Linked DNA regions of Caenorhabditis elegans. The protein of the gene in region 1 interacts with the protein of each later gene in a biochemical or structural test. Each region holds a gene or a part of one and is shown on either strand. Other genes may lie near its edges.

Region 1 (5,708 bases):
TTCGACACTATTTTTTATTCGCCTCGGTTTAAACGTGGTGTCAAAATGTCCCAATTTTGGTTTGATCTTCGAGAAATGTGGGAGAAGACGACGCAGACTTTTCACTTGATTTTCCATGGTTAAGAGTGTTTTCCCGCATTTTTTGTAGATCAAGCCGCAATGAGACAGCCTGACACCACGTGTGTGTTTGTGTACGATAGCCTAATGACCCGAAAAATGAGGGTAACGAGGTGAGAGCGAAATCAGTGGAATCACGAATTCTCAATTTTCCGCCTCGATGAAAACTAGCATTTTAGAGCACATATTGTCATATTACCGGAACACAAAATGCTGAGAATACGTATTGCACAACATATTTGACGCGCAAAATATCTCGTTACGAAAACTACAGTAATTCTTTAAATGACTACTGTAGCGCTTGTGTCGATTTACGGGCTCGATTTTTGAAATTTCAAAAAACGAGTCTGTATATCGACACAAGCGCTACAGTAGTAGTCATTTAAAGGATTACTGTAGTTTTCGCTACGAGATATTTTTCGCGTCGAATTTATTTGATAATTGGAAAAATATGTGCGCCTTTGAAGAGTACTGTAACTTCAAACTTTTGTTACTGCGGACTTTCCATCGATTTTTCATAGTTTTTCGTTGAAAATGAATTTGTTTATTTTTTAAAAAAACCTACAGTGTTTACAAACCGTAATGAAATCTTCAAAAAATCGATAAAAATTCGAATTTTCATCGATTTTCCATAATTTTTCGATAAAAATTCATTTATTTATTTTTCAAACTCCTGAATTTTGCATATTACGGGGACACAAAATTCCGAGAATGCGTATTGCACAGCATATTGTCGCGCAAAATATCTCGTAGCGAAAACTACAGTAATTCTTTAAAAGACTACTGTAGCCGATTGACGGGCTTGATTTTTGAAGTAAAAAATATTAATTTATTCGTAATTTCGAAAATCAAGCCCGTAAATCGACACAAGCGCTACAGTAGTCATTTAAAGAGTTACTGTAATTTTCGCTACGAGATATTTTGCGCGTCAAATATGTTGCAAAATATGCATTCTCAGCGTTTTGTGTTCCATAAGTAATAAGTTGTGTAATTTTTTTAATCAATTTAATGCACCTGATTGGAATCGCACGTGTCGTCTTTTCCAATAAAACATGACGGTTTTCTCTTTTTTTTAATTGAAAAATTGTTCTCGACAACACAAAACATATTCATTCTTAATAAATATATATATTATTTGCGATTATCAGCAGCACGCTCTTATCTCGTCTTGTTAACCGCTTCCGACTGTTTAATAGTTCCCATGATTTTATCGATTTTGCAACTAAAATTCTAAATTTCAGATTTCAACAACGACTCATCTTTCTTTAAGTGCATGCGTTCTCGACACTATACATATGGTGAGTTTTCGGCTAAAATAATTCCATTTTCTAAATATTTTGCCTCCTGGGAGACCAAGCAGATGTCGTTTCACCCAGATGATCACCCAGATGTTCAGATGGTTATGAGTGTCGGAAACAGAAGAAAAGGGAGAAATCTAGAATCTCTCTTCCGGAACAGATCTCCCCGCCGAAATCTTTTCTATTTTCTATTCAAAACCACAAAAATTCACAGAAATTAGCTAAACATGCTTGGCTTTTATGCATTTATTTCGACAAACGTTCAATTTTCAAGTAATTATTCCTCTGAACATGAGAAATCGCATTAATTAATTAATAATTGGAGAAAAAAAACGGATTTCTGCATTTTCGCGTGCCGGTGTTTGCGGACCTCTCCCCCCGCTTCACTCGGCGCGCTGTTCTCACTATTCGAATTTTGAAGCCGTCTCCGTGATTTTTAATGCTATTTGGCGTATTTTCTTGAAAAATGATGAGCTTTTCGACTCAACCGTGCTCTTAAATTGATTTATATCAGGTTTTTTGATCTTAAAATGATATAGAAATGTAGAAAACGAGTTGAAAAGCCTGAAAAAGCCCTCTGAAAGTTTTTCGGGACTTTTTCAAGCTTTTTAACAAAAATAAATGCTATTTTCAGATAGAACAACCTGAGTTTTCTGCATTTCGATATCAATTTTCAAAGAAATTAAATCATTTCGAAATTTCTGCAAAAATAATAAACGTGTGTATCGCTCTACTTTTTTGTTGTTGTAATTATATTTCAATTCTAAAATTATTATTTCTCCAGGCTGACCGAGACTATATGGAACACAACGACTTTCGTGTCGTTACGTCGTCATCGGTGTATCGGAAAGGCTCGACGACGACGGCCGGCGCCGCCGCCGCTGGACCAAAATCCAATAAATTAAGCTACACTCTTGGAGAGGTTTGTGCTGCTGCAGCACGCGCTCCTTTAAGCCGAAAAGAGCCGTATTTGGCTTTTCCACTGAAAATGGCAGGTTTATCGATTTTTTAGCTTTGAAAATTTTTTTCTCTGCATTTTACGAAGAAACCTTTTGTTAAACAGTGAAAATATTTTAAAATCGAATTTAAAATCACTAAAATGAAATTCTTTTCGCCCACTGGTTGAGAAATGATTTGAAATTGAAGAAATCAACGGGATTTTTTTTTAAAAAATCGATTTTAATAGAAAAATATTTAGAAAATGTGAAAAATCCCGTTGATTTCTTCAAATTCAAACCATTTCACCACCAGTGGACAAAAAAAGTTTCAAAAAAAGTTTCAAAAGGTTTGTGGGTAAATGCAGAGAAAATTGTTTTTTTAAAGCTAAAAATTCGATAAATCAGCTATTTTCAGTGGAAAGGCAAAAAAGGCGAAGCGCAGCAAGGACTAGGAGCTCCTGCATTCCAAAAAAATCTATAACTTATTGCATTTTTTCAGGTATGCTCAACAAATGTCACGCTGGACGTGAACGTCGGCACCGGCTGGACGAGAATACGTCTGAAGGAGGTTCCCAAGTTCATTGTGCACGCGTTCAACATCATTTCGAAGCACGGAATGGACACTGACGGGATTTTCCGCAAGGAAGGAAACTCTGTTCGGCTGAATCGCGCCGAAGTACAGGCAATCTACAAAGGGCAGAGCGACATTCCTAACGACTACAGTGTTATCGACGTTTGCACGATGGTGAAGCGGTTTCTTCGCGATCTGAAGCCACCGCTGCTCGATTCAGAAGAGTGTCGAGCTCGACTTCTGAAGAAAGCGTGCCAAGCGAGAATTTCGGATAGTTTCCTGATGACGCGAGACGAGATGGCAGACATTTTCTACTTGGAGGATCGCACAATCGAGCAACAGACACCGCTGCTCTCCGATGTGCATGCTTCAACGCTGGGATATGTGATGAGACAGCTGTACAGAGTATGTGACTCGTGGATTTTTTGATTTTTTGACACGGAATTCTGGCATTCCTCATGACGTTTTCGCGCTCCATTGACAAGCCGGACAACGCGGACAAATACATCAGTTTTACAACTAAAAACGAGCCGCGACGCGACACGCAACGCGCCGTGAATCTACCCCAGATATGGCTGAGCCAAAATGGCCTAGTTCGGCAAACTCTTCCATTTCTGGCTTCTCTCATAAATTGAAATGGAAGAGTTTGCCGACTGGCTCGGCAATATTTGGGGTAGTTTTACGGCGCGTTGCGTGTCGCGTCGCGGCTCGATTTTAGTTGTAAAACTAGATTCATTTGTCTCCGTGTGGAGTACACGACTTTCCGAGCGGGCGATTGTCAATGGAGCGCGAAAAATGCAATTTTTCATTTAAACTCGGTTCCTTTTTCCAGATCGCCGCTCACAGTGACCAGCACAAGATGTCGATTGAAAATTTGGCAATCGTTCTCGTCGGAAGTGTCTTCGGTGACGGTATTCACGATCCGCGCAAAACTTCACAGATCCGTCGTGGCTCGAAGGAGGATATTTTGGCGCAGAAGCGGCAGGATATGAGTGTGAACACGGCGGCGGTTAAATTATTGATTACTAATGTAATTTTCAACACATATTTATTAGGTGGACTAACGATTTTGAACGTGTATGCTCAAAATTTGCTGAAAAGAACGAAAAAATCGCGGCGAAATTGATCAAAAATTCGGAAAAATGACACTTAATTTAGCTAAAATCTCGAAATTTGCCCACGCATCTCTCCGATGTTGACTTTTTTTTTTTTTTGGAATTATCACCTTTTATTGCATATTCTAGTGGTTTCTCTCATTTAATTTCGTTTATTAGGGTACATTTAAAGGGGGAGTAGAGTTTGTGGGAGTTTTGCCTTAATAGACTAAAACTGGTCCAAAACCACCGAATTTCGTAATTAGACTTCACAAAAAAATTTCAAAATTTTTTTATGGCCGGTCAAAATTTCGAAAAAAAAGAGCCAAATTTTGCTAAAATTTGAAATTTCGCACACTTTTCTTTGTCACAGTTGCTGGATTTTTGTTTTTTTTTTTGAAATTATCACCCTTTAATCGTTCTTTTGGTAATTTATCTCGCGGAAATTCGTCGATTGAGACAAATTTTAGGCCGATAGGCATCCAAAAATCAACGAATTTTCACGAGAAATTACCAAAATAAGGATTAAAAAGTGATAATTTCAGAAAAACAAAAATCCAGCAGCTGTGACAAAGAAAAGTGCAAAATTTCAGATTTTAGCAAAATTTGGCTCTTTTTTTCGACATTTTTACCGGCCATAAAAAATTTTTGGAAATTTTTTGAGAAGTCACATTATTAAATTCGGTGGTTTTGGAACAGTTTTAGTCTATTTAATCAAAATACCCACAAACTCTATTCCCCCTTTAAATGTACCTTAAAGGAAATTAAGTGAATAAACCACTAAAATATGCAATAAAATATGAAAATTCCGAAAAAGTCAACTTCTGACAGATGCTACACTGAAAAGTGGCAAAAAATTGAGATTTTAGCAAGAATAAGTGTATTTTTTTCCGAATTTTTGATCAATTTCGTGATGAAATTCGTTCAAAATCGTCCAAAAATCGTTAGTCCTCATTTAAAATATTCGAAATCACAATTTAAAATCCAATTTCTTATCAATTTCAGGCCAATCTAATTGGTGTCCGTCGTGATCCGTACGTGACAAGTAACGCGATGCTCCGAAGCTCGAGCGCGATGCCACGTTGCATGAGCAGTGGATACGAGACGTCGTCGTCTGATGCGGATTGTCTATCGTCGAATATCGCTCAAACAGCAGCAGCGGCGCTCCACCAGAGAGGAGAAGCTGGAGCCGGCGGCCCGTCGACGTCACTCGCCATTCACCGCCGAGACTCGGAAGCTGTTCACAAAATAGTGACTTCGCGGAAGAAGGGCGAGTTGCTGGAGTCGAAAAAAAAGCGGTCCGCATCGTTTCTGCCGAGCTTCCGCGACCTTAAACATCGCTTGTCGAACATGAAGCGAGCCAAGAGCCCAAGTCCGGAGCGACTCATGACTGGACACACTGCTGCTGCCATCGAGCCGCCATTGACAGCAGACACACTGGATTTGTACACGGATCATCGGAAAAAGGTGGCGCGAAACGAGTCGAATACCATGTCGACTGGATCAACGGCGTCTGGCAGACAATCGAGAAGCCATCAGAATCGGCGAGGCAACACGAACGCCGCACCGAGAAGTGGTGGTAGCGGAAAGAATACGATTTCGAAAATGTTTGAGCACGAGCAGCAGCAAGTTGTCCCCAGCAGTGGTGGAGCTCTTCGACGGCTGTCGGCTAACGATCAGAATACCGATG
Region 2 (8,513 bases), on another chromosome or scaffold:
AAAGGCTTGAAATTGGTCTGAAAAGGCTTGAAATTGGTCTGAAAAGGCTTGAAATTGGTCTAAATAGGCTTTAGCTTGGTCTTAAAAGGCTTGAATTGGTCTAAAGCCAATTTTCTTTTTTTTTTAAATCCACTTTCCACAGTGCTTTTGCTGAAAAAACTCGAATTTTAGAGATTTTCAAGTGAATTTCCTCTGAGAAGATTAGAATTTAGGCTTTTCACTCATCTGTAGTTATCGTATTGCGTACTGCACAACATATTTGAAGCGCAAAATATCTCGTAGCGAAAACTATAGTAATTTTTTAAATAACTACTGTAGCGCTTGTGTGTCGATTTACGGGCTCGCTATACGCCTGGCCATAATTTTTGTGTTCCCGTTGGGACCTCTATGTAGGCGTTAAAACGCATGCCTGCCTGACCATAAGGCGACCTCTGCCTGCCTGCCTGACCTTACGACCTCCATCCGTGCCTCATATTCAATTTTTTCATCTCTAAAATTGTTTTTCACCAAATTCATAAAAATGGGAAAATTTTAAATCTGTAAATTCTCAGGCAGGTTTCAGGCAGGCAGTGGAACCGCGCCTGCCTACCATGGAAGTCCTAGTTCCCGTAATATGGTCGATTTTCGAAGAAAAAAAATCCGGCACTTCCGCTGACTCACGTAGTGCCAGGCTGCTGTCCCATCACGGGTTGATCTACAAAAAATGCGGGAATTTTTTTGGCCCAAAAATACGTGACGTCAGCACGTTCTTAACCATGCGCGAAATCAGTTGAAAAGTCTGCGCGTCTCAATCAACTCCCGCATTTTTTGTAGATCAACGTAGATCAAGCCGAAACGGGACACACTCTGACCACATTTCCGCTGACTAATTGTGATCTACTTCTTATCATCCCGCCAACCTCCCCCGCCACACCCCAGTTTTTTCAGACATTCCCCACTATCGGTTTGAATTTTCTTCCTCTCACCTCCCTCGCCACTCTCTCTCTCTCTTTCACACAAGATGAATCATCATTGGCATTCAATTTGCAAATCGATGTCTCCGCTCTCTGTGTTCTCTGTGTTCTCTGTGTCTCTCCCCACTCTCTCTCTCTCCCATCATCATCATCATCACTGTACCATTCTCTATGTCAGTGTCGTTGTGTGTGTGTGAGTGGTGTGAGTGGGGTGTCTCCAACCAACACATACAGTAGTGACTCACTACCAGTGATCTACCCAGTGGCCATAATTTTTGACGTCTATACGTTTTTTTTTTGCCGAAAAAATTGCTCCAAAAAAGCAATTTTTGTGGTTTTCCAAGCGAAAATCTGGAAATTTTCTGAAAAATTCCATTTTCACCGTTGAAAATTGCGATTTTCGTGATTTTCCACGTTTTTGAAGTTTTTCGGCCATTTTCAAGCTATTTTCCGTTGCTCGAATTCGGTTGAATTCCACCAAATGCACAAATTTGTTCAGAAATTTGGAAATTCGCCGGATTTTCATGGATATTCTGGAAAAATTCCATTTTTTAACGTTGAAAATTTGGAATTTTCGGTCAAAATACGACCAAATTCACAAATTTATTTGGAAATTTGAAATTTTTCTGCGAAATTCCATTTAAAAACGTCGAAAATTCCATTTTTCCATAGATTTTCGTGGCGAAAACTTAAATTTCCACCCTTTTCAAGCGATTTTTCCGTTGAAAAAGCGACCAAATTCACAAATTTGGCCGAATGAATTTCACGGAAAATTTTGAAATACCTCCTTAAAGGCGCAGGGACTTATTCAGATGGGTCTCGCCGCGAGAACACAGTTTTTTTAAATTTTTGTGGCTTTTTCAATGAAATTACTTGATTTTTAGCGAATTTTGTCGTTTTCCTCTCATTTTTTTTGGTGATTAAGACAATTTTCACCAAAAAAATGGGAGAAAAACGACAAAATTCGCTAAAAATCAAGTAATTTCATTGAAAAAGCCACAAAAATTAAAAAAAACTGTGTTCTCGCGGCGAGACCCATCTGAATTAGTCCCTGCGCCTTTAAGGAGGCATGTGTCGAATACTCATGAAATTGCTCATTTTCAAGCGATTTTTCCCGATAAAAGCCCATTTTTCTCGCATTTTCTCCTGTTTTTTCTCTTTTAAATATTTGTTAATCTCAATTTTCCAATCTAATTTTTTCTAATTTTCCCTTTTTTTTGCAGGGCTCTACGGGTGTTCCCTCTCGCGTTCCTCACTCACACACACACATAGAGATAGATGGCTGCGATTAGAAAGAAGGTGAGCAGCAGCTCCTCTCATTCTGATGCTCCGCGGCTCATTAAATTGTGCTCAATTGGAGAGAAAATTGGAGAAAAAACGACGAAAGTCGATAAATTCTCCTTGAAATTACAGAAATTTCAGTTTTTTCAGCAATTTTTCGCGAAAATCGATGTTTCTCGGCGATTTTGGGGCTCTGAAGCCATTTTCATTGAAATTTAGTGAAAAAAATATGTGTTTTATCTAAAATAACTGAAAAATGGCTCAAAAATTGTCGAAATAATAGTTTTTGACAATTTTTGAGCTCTTTTTCAGTTTTTTTCAGATAAAATACATATTTTTTCACTAAATTTCAATGAAAATGGCTCCAGAGCCCAAAATCACACGAAAATATCGATTTTCACGAAAAAAAACTGAATTTTTTGTCATTTCCCTTGATTTTGAGGCGAATTTATCGATTTTTGTCGTTTTTTTCCCGAAAAAATCGAAATTTTCTCGGAAATTCCACTTTAAAATTGACTATTTTTTTGTTTTGCAGTTGGTGATCGTCGGCGACGGAGCCTGCGGTAAAACTTGCCTGCTCATCGTTTTCTCAAAGGATCAGTTCCCAGACGTGTATGTGCCGACTGTTTTCGAGAATTATGTTGCCGACATTGAAGTTGACGGAAAGCAGGTGCGGATTGGATGAAGAAATTGTGAAAAAATGCGATTTTTGAGCCGAAAATCGAGTTTTTCGTTCGGAAATTGACCAAAATGAAGGAATTTGTGATTTTTGAGCTGAAAATCGTGAAAAATTGCGATTTTTGAGCTAAACACGTTGTTTTTTCGACAAATTTTGACTAAAAGGAGCAAATTTGTGCTTTTCAGCCGGGTTTGAGCTTATCATTGAAAAAATTGGCTCGAAACAGTGAAAAATCGCGTTTTTTGAGCTAAAAGTCATGTTTTTCCGATAAATTTTGACTAGAAGGAGCAAATCTGTGATTTTGAGCTGAAAATAGTGAAAAATTGCGATTTTTGAGGAAAAAAAATCGTATTTTTGAGTCGAAAATTGCCTTATATTTTTTTAAGCTGAAAATCGTGTTTTTCAGCTATTTTTTTGCTGAAAATTCCCTATTTCTCAAAGTTTTCGTGAAAATTCCCCGTTTTTTTTACCAAAAATTTAAGAAAAATTGGCAAAAATGACTGTTTTTCGCCTATAAATTGACTGAAATGCACACACAAATTTACGATTTTAAGCAAAATTTTGAGGAATTTTGAGAGATTTTTCAGAAAAACTTGTGTGTTATTTTTCGAGAAAAACAGTATTTTCTGCCATTTTTTTACCTAAAAATCCAGGTTTTTAGCTAGAAATTCAAAATTTTCCAAAAAATGCCAATTTTTTGCTGAAAATCCGAGTTTTCGCCCCCCGAAAATTCGAATTTTTTATCCAACAATCCAAATTTTAAACCTAAAACTCCTGGTTTTACACCAGAAAATTCGAATTTTCTCATCTGAAAATCCAGGGTTTTTCACAAGAAAATTCGAATTTTTTACCCGAAAATCTAAGTTTTTCCTCTAAAAATCCAATTTTTTAACCTAAAAAATTCAAATTTTTGCTGAAAATCCAAGTTTGCTAGCTGCAAATCCAGGTTTTTCCCTTTTCAAATTTTACCAGGAAATCTAAGTTTTTCGGCTGAAAATCCGAGTTTTTAGCCACAAAATATATAAATTTTTCCAAAAAAAAAACCAATTTTTACTTATAAATCCAAGGTTTTTAGCTAGAAATTGCCATTTTTCATATTTTAAAATCCAAAATTTTCACCCGAAAATCCAGATTTTTACTCTAAAAAATCCAATGGTTTTTACCTAAAAAAAATTCAAAATTTTCCGAAAAGTGCAATTTTTTTGCTGAAAATCCGAGTTTTTACCTCAAAACTCCAAATTTTTAACCTAAAAAATGCACATATTTTTCCTCTAAAAATACAATTTTTACCGAAAAATCCAGGATCTCTAGCTGACAATTCAATTTTTCATTAAAAATCAAAGTTTTCCCCAAAAAAACCATTTTTTTAGCTGAAAATTACAATTTCTTACCTAAAATTCCAAATTTTCCTCATAAAGATTTTACTTATCTAAAAATTCAAATTTCTAGAAAAAAATCCGAGTTTTCTTCTCTAAAATCCGTTGTGTTTTTAACCTTAAAAATTCAAATTTTTCCAAAAATAGCGATTTTTGCTGAAAATCAAAAATTTTCCCTAAAAATATCAATTTTTACCTGAAAATTCAAATTTTTCACCTAAAATTCCAAGTTTTCTAGCTGAAAATTCAAATTTTTCTAAAAAAAATAGCAATTTTTGCTGAAAATTTAAGTTTTTTACCCGAAAATCCAAGTTTTTAACCTAAAAATTCCAAATTTTCCCTAAAAATATCAATTTTTACCTGAAAATTCCAAGTTTTTAACCTAAAATCCAATCCAAAATTTTAGCCTAAAAAATTCATATTTTTCCTTTAAAAATACCACCATATTTACCTAAAAATCCAGGTTCTCTAGCTGAAAATTCAAATTTTTCTAAAAAAAATAGCAATTTTTGCTGAAAATCCGAGTTTTTCGCCCGAAAATTCAATTTTTCATCCAAATATCCAAATTTTAAACCTTATAAATTCAAATTTTTCCAAAAATAGCGATTTTTGCTGAAAATCCAGATTTCTTCCTCTAAAAATTGAAATTTTTAACCTAAAAAATGCATATTTTCCTCTAAAAATACAATTTTTACCTAAAAATCTCGGGTTTTCCCTAAAAATTCAAATTTTTTCACTTAAAAATCCGAAATTTTCTGCAGGTCGAACTTGCTCTATGGGATACAGCTGGACAAGAGGACTATGATCGTCTGCGTCCACTCTCTTATCCGGATACTGACGTCATTCTGATGTGCTTCTCAATTGATTCACCCGATTCACTGGAGAATATTCCAGAAAAATGGACACCAGAAGTCAGGCATTTCTGTCCAAATGTTCCGATTATTTTGGTCGGAAATAAACGAGATCTTCGTAGTGATCCACAGACTGTTCGAGAATTGGCAAAAATGAAACAGGAGCCCGTGAAGCCTGAGCAGGGACGAGCAATTGCTGAGCAAATTGGAGCATTTGCATATTTGGAGTGCTCTGCGAAGACTAAGGACGGAATTCGTGAGGTACAACAAGCAGCAGTAGCACCGAATTGAGAGATGGAAATTATTTTGGAAATTGAGCGAAATTTTTGGAAATTTCAGCCGAGAAAACCCAAAAAATTTTGAATTTTTATGAAAAAAAGGGTTTTCAGAAAATTCGAGCTCAGAATTCCAATTTTTCTGCAAAAAATGATGACTTGCGAAGAAAAATTGGAAATTGTGCGAAATTTCCAGAAATTTCAGCCAAGAAAACCCAGAAAATTGCAATTTTTATGACATTCTAATGATTCGAGCTCAAAATTCGTGATTTTTGCGAAAATTTATATTTTTGACGATTTTGGCCTCTAAAAAGCTGTAAAAACTGCAAAAAATCCGAATTTCAATATTTTATGGGAAAATTGGGTGGAATTTTCGGAAATTTCAGCCTCGAAAACCCAGAAAATTGCAATTTTTATGAAAAAAAAAATGGATTTTCAGTGATTTTCTGAAGATCCGAGCTCAAAATTCCAAATTCGACGATTTTGGGATATAAAAAGCTGCAAAAATCCAAAGTTTTCGTGAAAAATTTTCCGAAAAGTTGCAAATTTGTGGAAATTTTCCAGATTTTTTGAAAAAAAATTTTTCAATTTATGTGAAAAAATGAATTTCTTATGATTTTTTAAAGATCCGAGCTGAAAATCGACGATTTTGTGCTCTAAAAACTGAAAAATCTGAAATTTCAATTTTTCATGGAAAATTATGGAAAAATGATTGGAATTTCCGGAAATTTCAGCCGAGAAAACCCAAAAAATTTTGAATTTTTATGAAAAATTCCAGATTTTGGCGAAAATCGATATTTTTCGACAATTTTGGGCTCTAAAAGGCCGTATAAATTTAAAAAAAAACTGATATTTCAATCTTTTTCTTGTAAAACTTCACCTGGAAGATATTTTCGATATTTTTCGACAATTTTCCGACAGTTTCAGCTGAATTTTCTAAATTTTTTGGAAATTTGGCCTAAATTCAGTCAAAAATCCGATTTTCGCTTCGAGACCCAAAAACATTGATTTTTTTAAATGAAAACTTAAAATATGTCCAAAAATTTCGATTTTCCAAAAGTTTAAATTACAAAAAATTCAATTTTTTTGGAGAAAATCACTTTAAAAAAATATTCGAAAAATTGGAAAAATTACAGATAAAAATTCAATTTTTGCGGAAAAAAAAATCGTTCTATTTTGAACAGAAATTTTCGAATTTCCCACAATTTTTTCCAATAAAATTTAAAAAATGGCTCAAAATTGAGCTAAAAGTCTCAATTTTCAACAAAAGTTCATCTAATTTTCCCCCAAATTTCCAATTTTTTCCAAGAAAATCGAAAAAAAGTTATTTTTCTGATTTTCTTTTAAAAAAAAAATTCAGCTAAAATTCTCACTTTTCCATTGAAATTTCCCCGAATTTCCAATTTTTCAGAAAAAAATTTGGAAAAAAGTCTTTTTTTTTTTAATTTTAATAAATTTCAGTTCAAATTTGAGGTTTTTAGCTCAATTTTGAGCCATTTTTCTGATTTTCATTGAAAAAAAAATAATTTAGCTGAAATTCACCAGTTTTCCCCCAAATGTTCAATTTTTTCAAATAAATTTTTAAAAAAAATTTACAATTTACAATTTTTTCCTGATTTTTTTCCAGAAAAAAGTGAAAAATTGCTCTAAAAGTCTCAATTTTCAGCTAAAATCCGAAAAAAAATCGATTTTTTTTTCACTAATTTTTTCCAATTTCAGGTATTCGAGAAGGCGACACAGGCGGCATTGCAACAGAAGAAGAAAAAGAAGAGCAAGTGCATGATTTTGTAAATCAATCGATAAAATGTCTGCTCTTCTTCTCTCTAATTCTCTCGTTTTTTCTCTCCCTCTTCAAAAATTGATTTTTCATCATTTTCCCCCCATTTCCCCCATACAAAATTTGAAATTCGCGCTTCTCTATTCCAATTTTTTGAGGTGGTGGCCGTGGCCTTGAAACTTGAAAAAGTTAGGCCACCGCTCTCTCTCTCTTTCTCTCTGAAATTCCAAATCACACATCTCCTCTCCCGCCCACACACACACACACATTTTATAGCTTAATCCCCGAATTCCCCGAATTAAAAAAAAAATTTCCGTTTTTTTTTTTGATTTTCACAATGTCAAACTGTGTTATTCCTCCGTTACCCCTCCGACGCGCTTACACACTTTTTTCTTTAAAAAATAATTTTTTCTCTGCCAAAATCACTAATTTTTCATTTTTATTGAAAAAACCTCCATCGCCCCATCGCTACTTTCCTATCTTAGCTTCAATGTAACAGGTTTCTATTTTTTTTTCGTCGAATTTTTTTTCCTAGCGAGCTTTAGCCAAGGATGCCGTTTTTCGACGATTTTGTAGAAAATTTTTTCAAAAAAATTGGACAATTGGCCAAAATTGAGCTATTTTTTGAGAAAATCCGGAAAAAATCGGAAATTTTCCGTTTTCTCCTGAAAAATCGGAAATTTCCCTTTTTTTTTACGAAAAAATCGATTTTTAGCTATTTTTCGAGAAAATCTGAAAAAACAAAAAAATTCCGTTTTCTCCTAAAAAATCGGAAATTTCCCGTTTTTTTAAATGAAAAAATTGAAAAAAAAAAATCGATTTTCACCACATTTTGAGATATTTTTACTGAAAAATCGGAAAAAAATCGAAAAATTTTCGATTTTTAATGAAAAATCGGAAAAAATCGAAAATTTTTCGATTTTAAGGACTCTTGGCTCCAGAGCTTGCTCCAGAAAAAAATTATCGATTTTTCTCGATTAATTTAAGAAATGCGTGCGATATTTGTAACATTTTCCTCTCTCTTTCTCTATTTCTCTTCGTCTCTCCCTCTCTCCAGCAGCAGCAGAAGCTCCCCCCCATACATCTTTAATGGTTTTTTTTATTGAATGACAGCAAACTTTCCATCCAATTCTTCCCCCCAAACCACCACCGCAAACACACCTATTTTATTTTGTTTTGTGACCCCGTTTTCTTTATGTAAGGAGAAATGAATAATTATTGGAAAAGTTTTTGAATCTTGGTTATTTTTTTCCGTTTTTTTTTTTGCAGAATTTCTGGCGACTCTTAGGATGGCTGTAATGAATTTTGTGATGAAAAATGG

The links.
Region 2: of the proteins of rga-4 (region 1) and rho-1, one has a biochemical effect on the other in vitro, tested with the Caenorhabditis elegans proteins (one study listed by BioGRID).

What each region holds. Positions count from the first base shown.
Region 1 is NC_003283.11:1,379,746-1,385,453, reverse strand, and holds the start of rga-4 (Rho-GAP domain-containing protein), read left to right. Parts: upstream 1-2,197; 5' UTR 2,198-2,214; coding exon 2,215-2,337; intron 2,338-2,852; coding exon 2,853-3,329; intron 3,330-3,756; coding exon 3,757-3,954; intron 3,955-5,023; coding exon 5,024-5,708.
Region 2 is NC_003282.8:16,482,685-16,491,197, reverse strand, and holds rho-1 (Ras-like GTP-binding protein rhoA), read left to right. Parts: upstream 1-2,176; 5' UTR 2,177-2,231; coding exon 2,232-2,252; intron 2,253-2,769; coding exon 2,770-2,904; intron 2,905-5,050; coding exon 5,051-5,401; intron 5,402-7,134; coding exon 7,135-7,206; 3' UTR 7,207-8,422; downstream 8,423-8,513. UniProt on the Caenorhabditis elegans protein: Required for ventral migration of epidermal cells during ventral enclosure in the embryo and for cell elongation. Also required for ventral migration of P cells during larval development.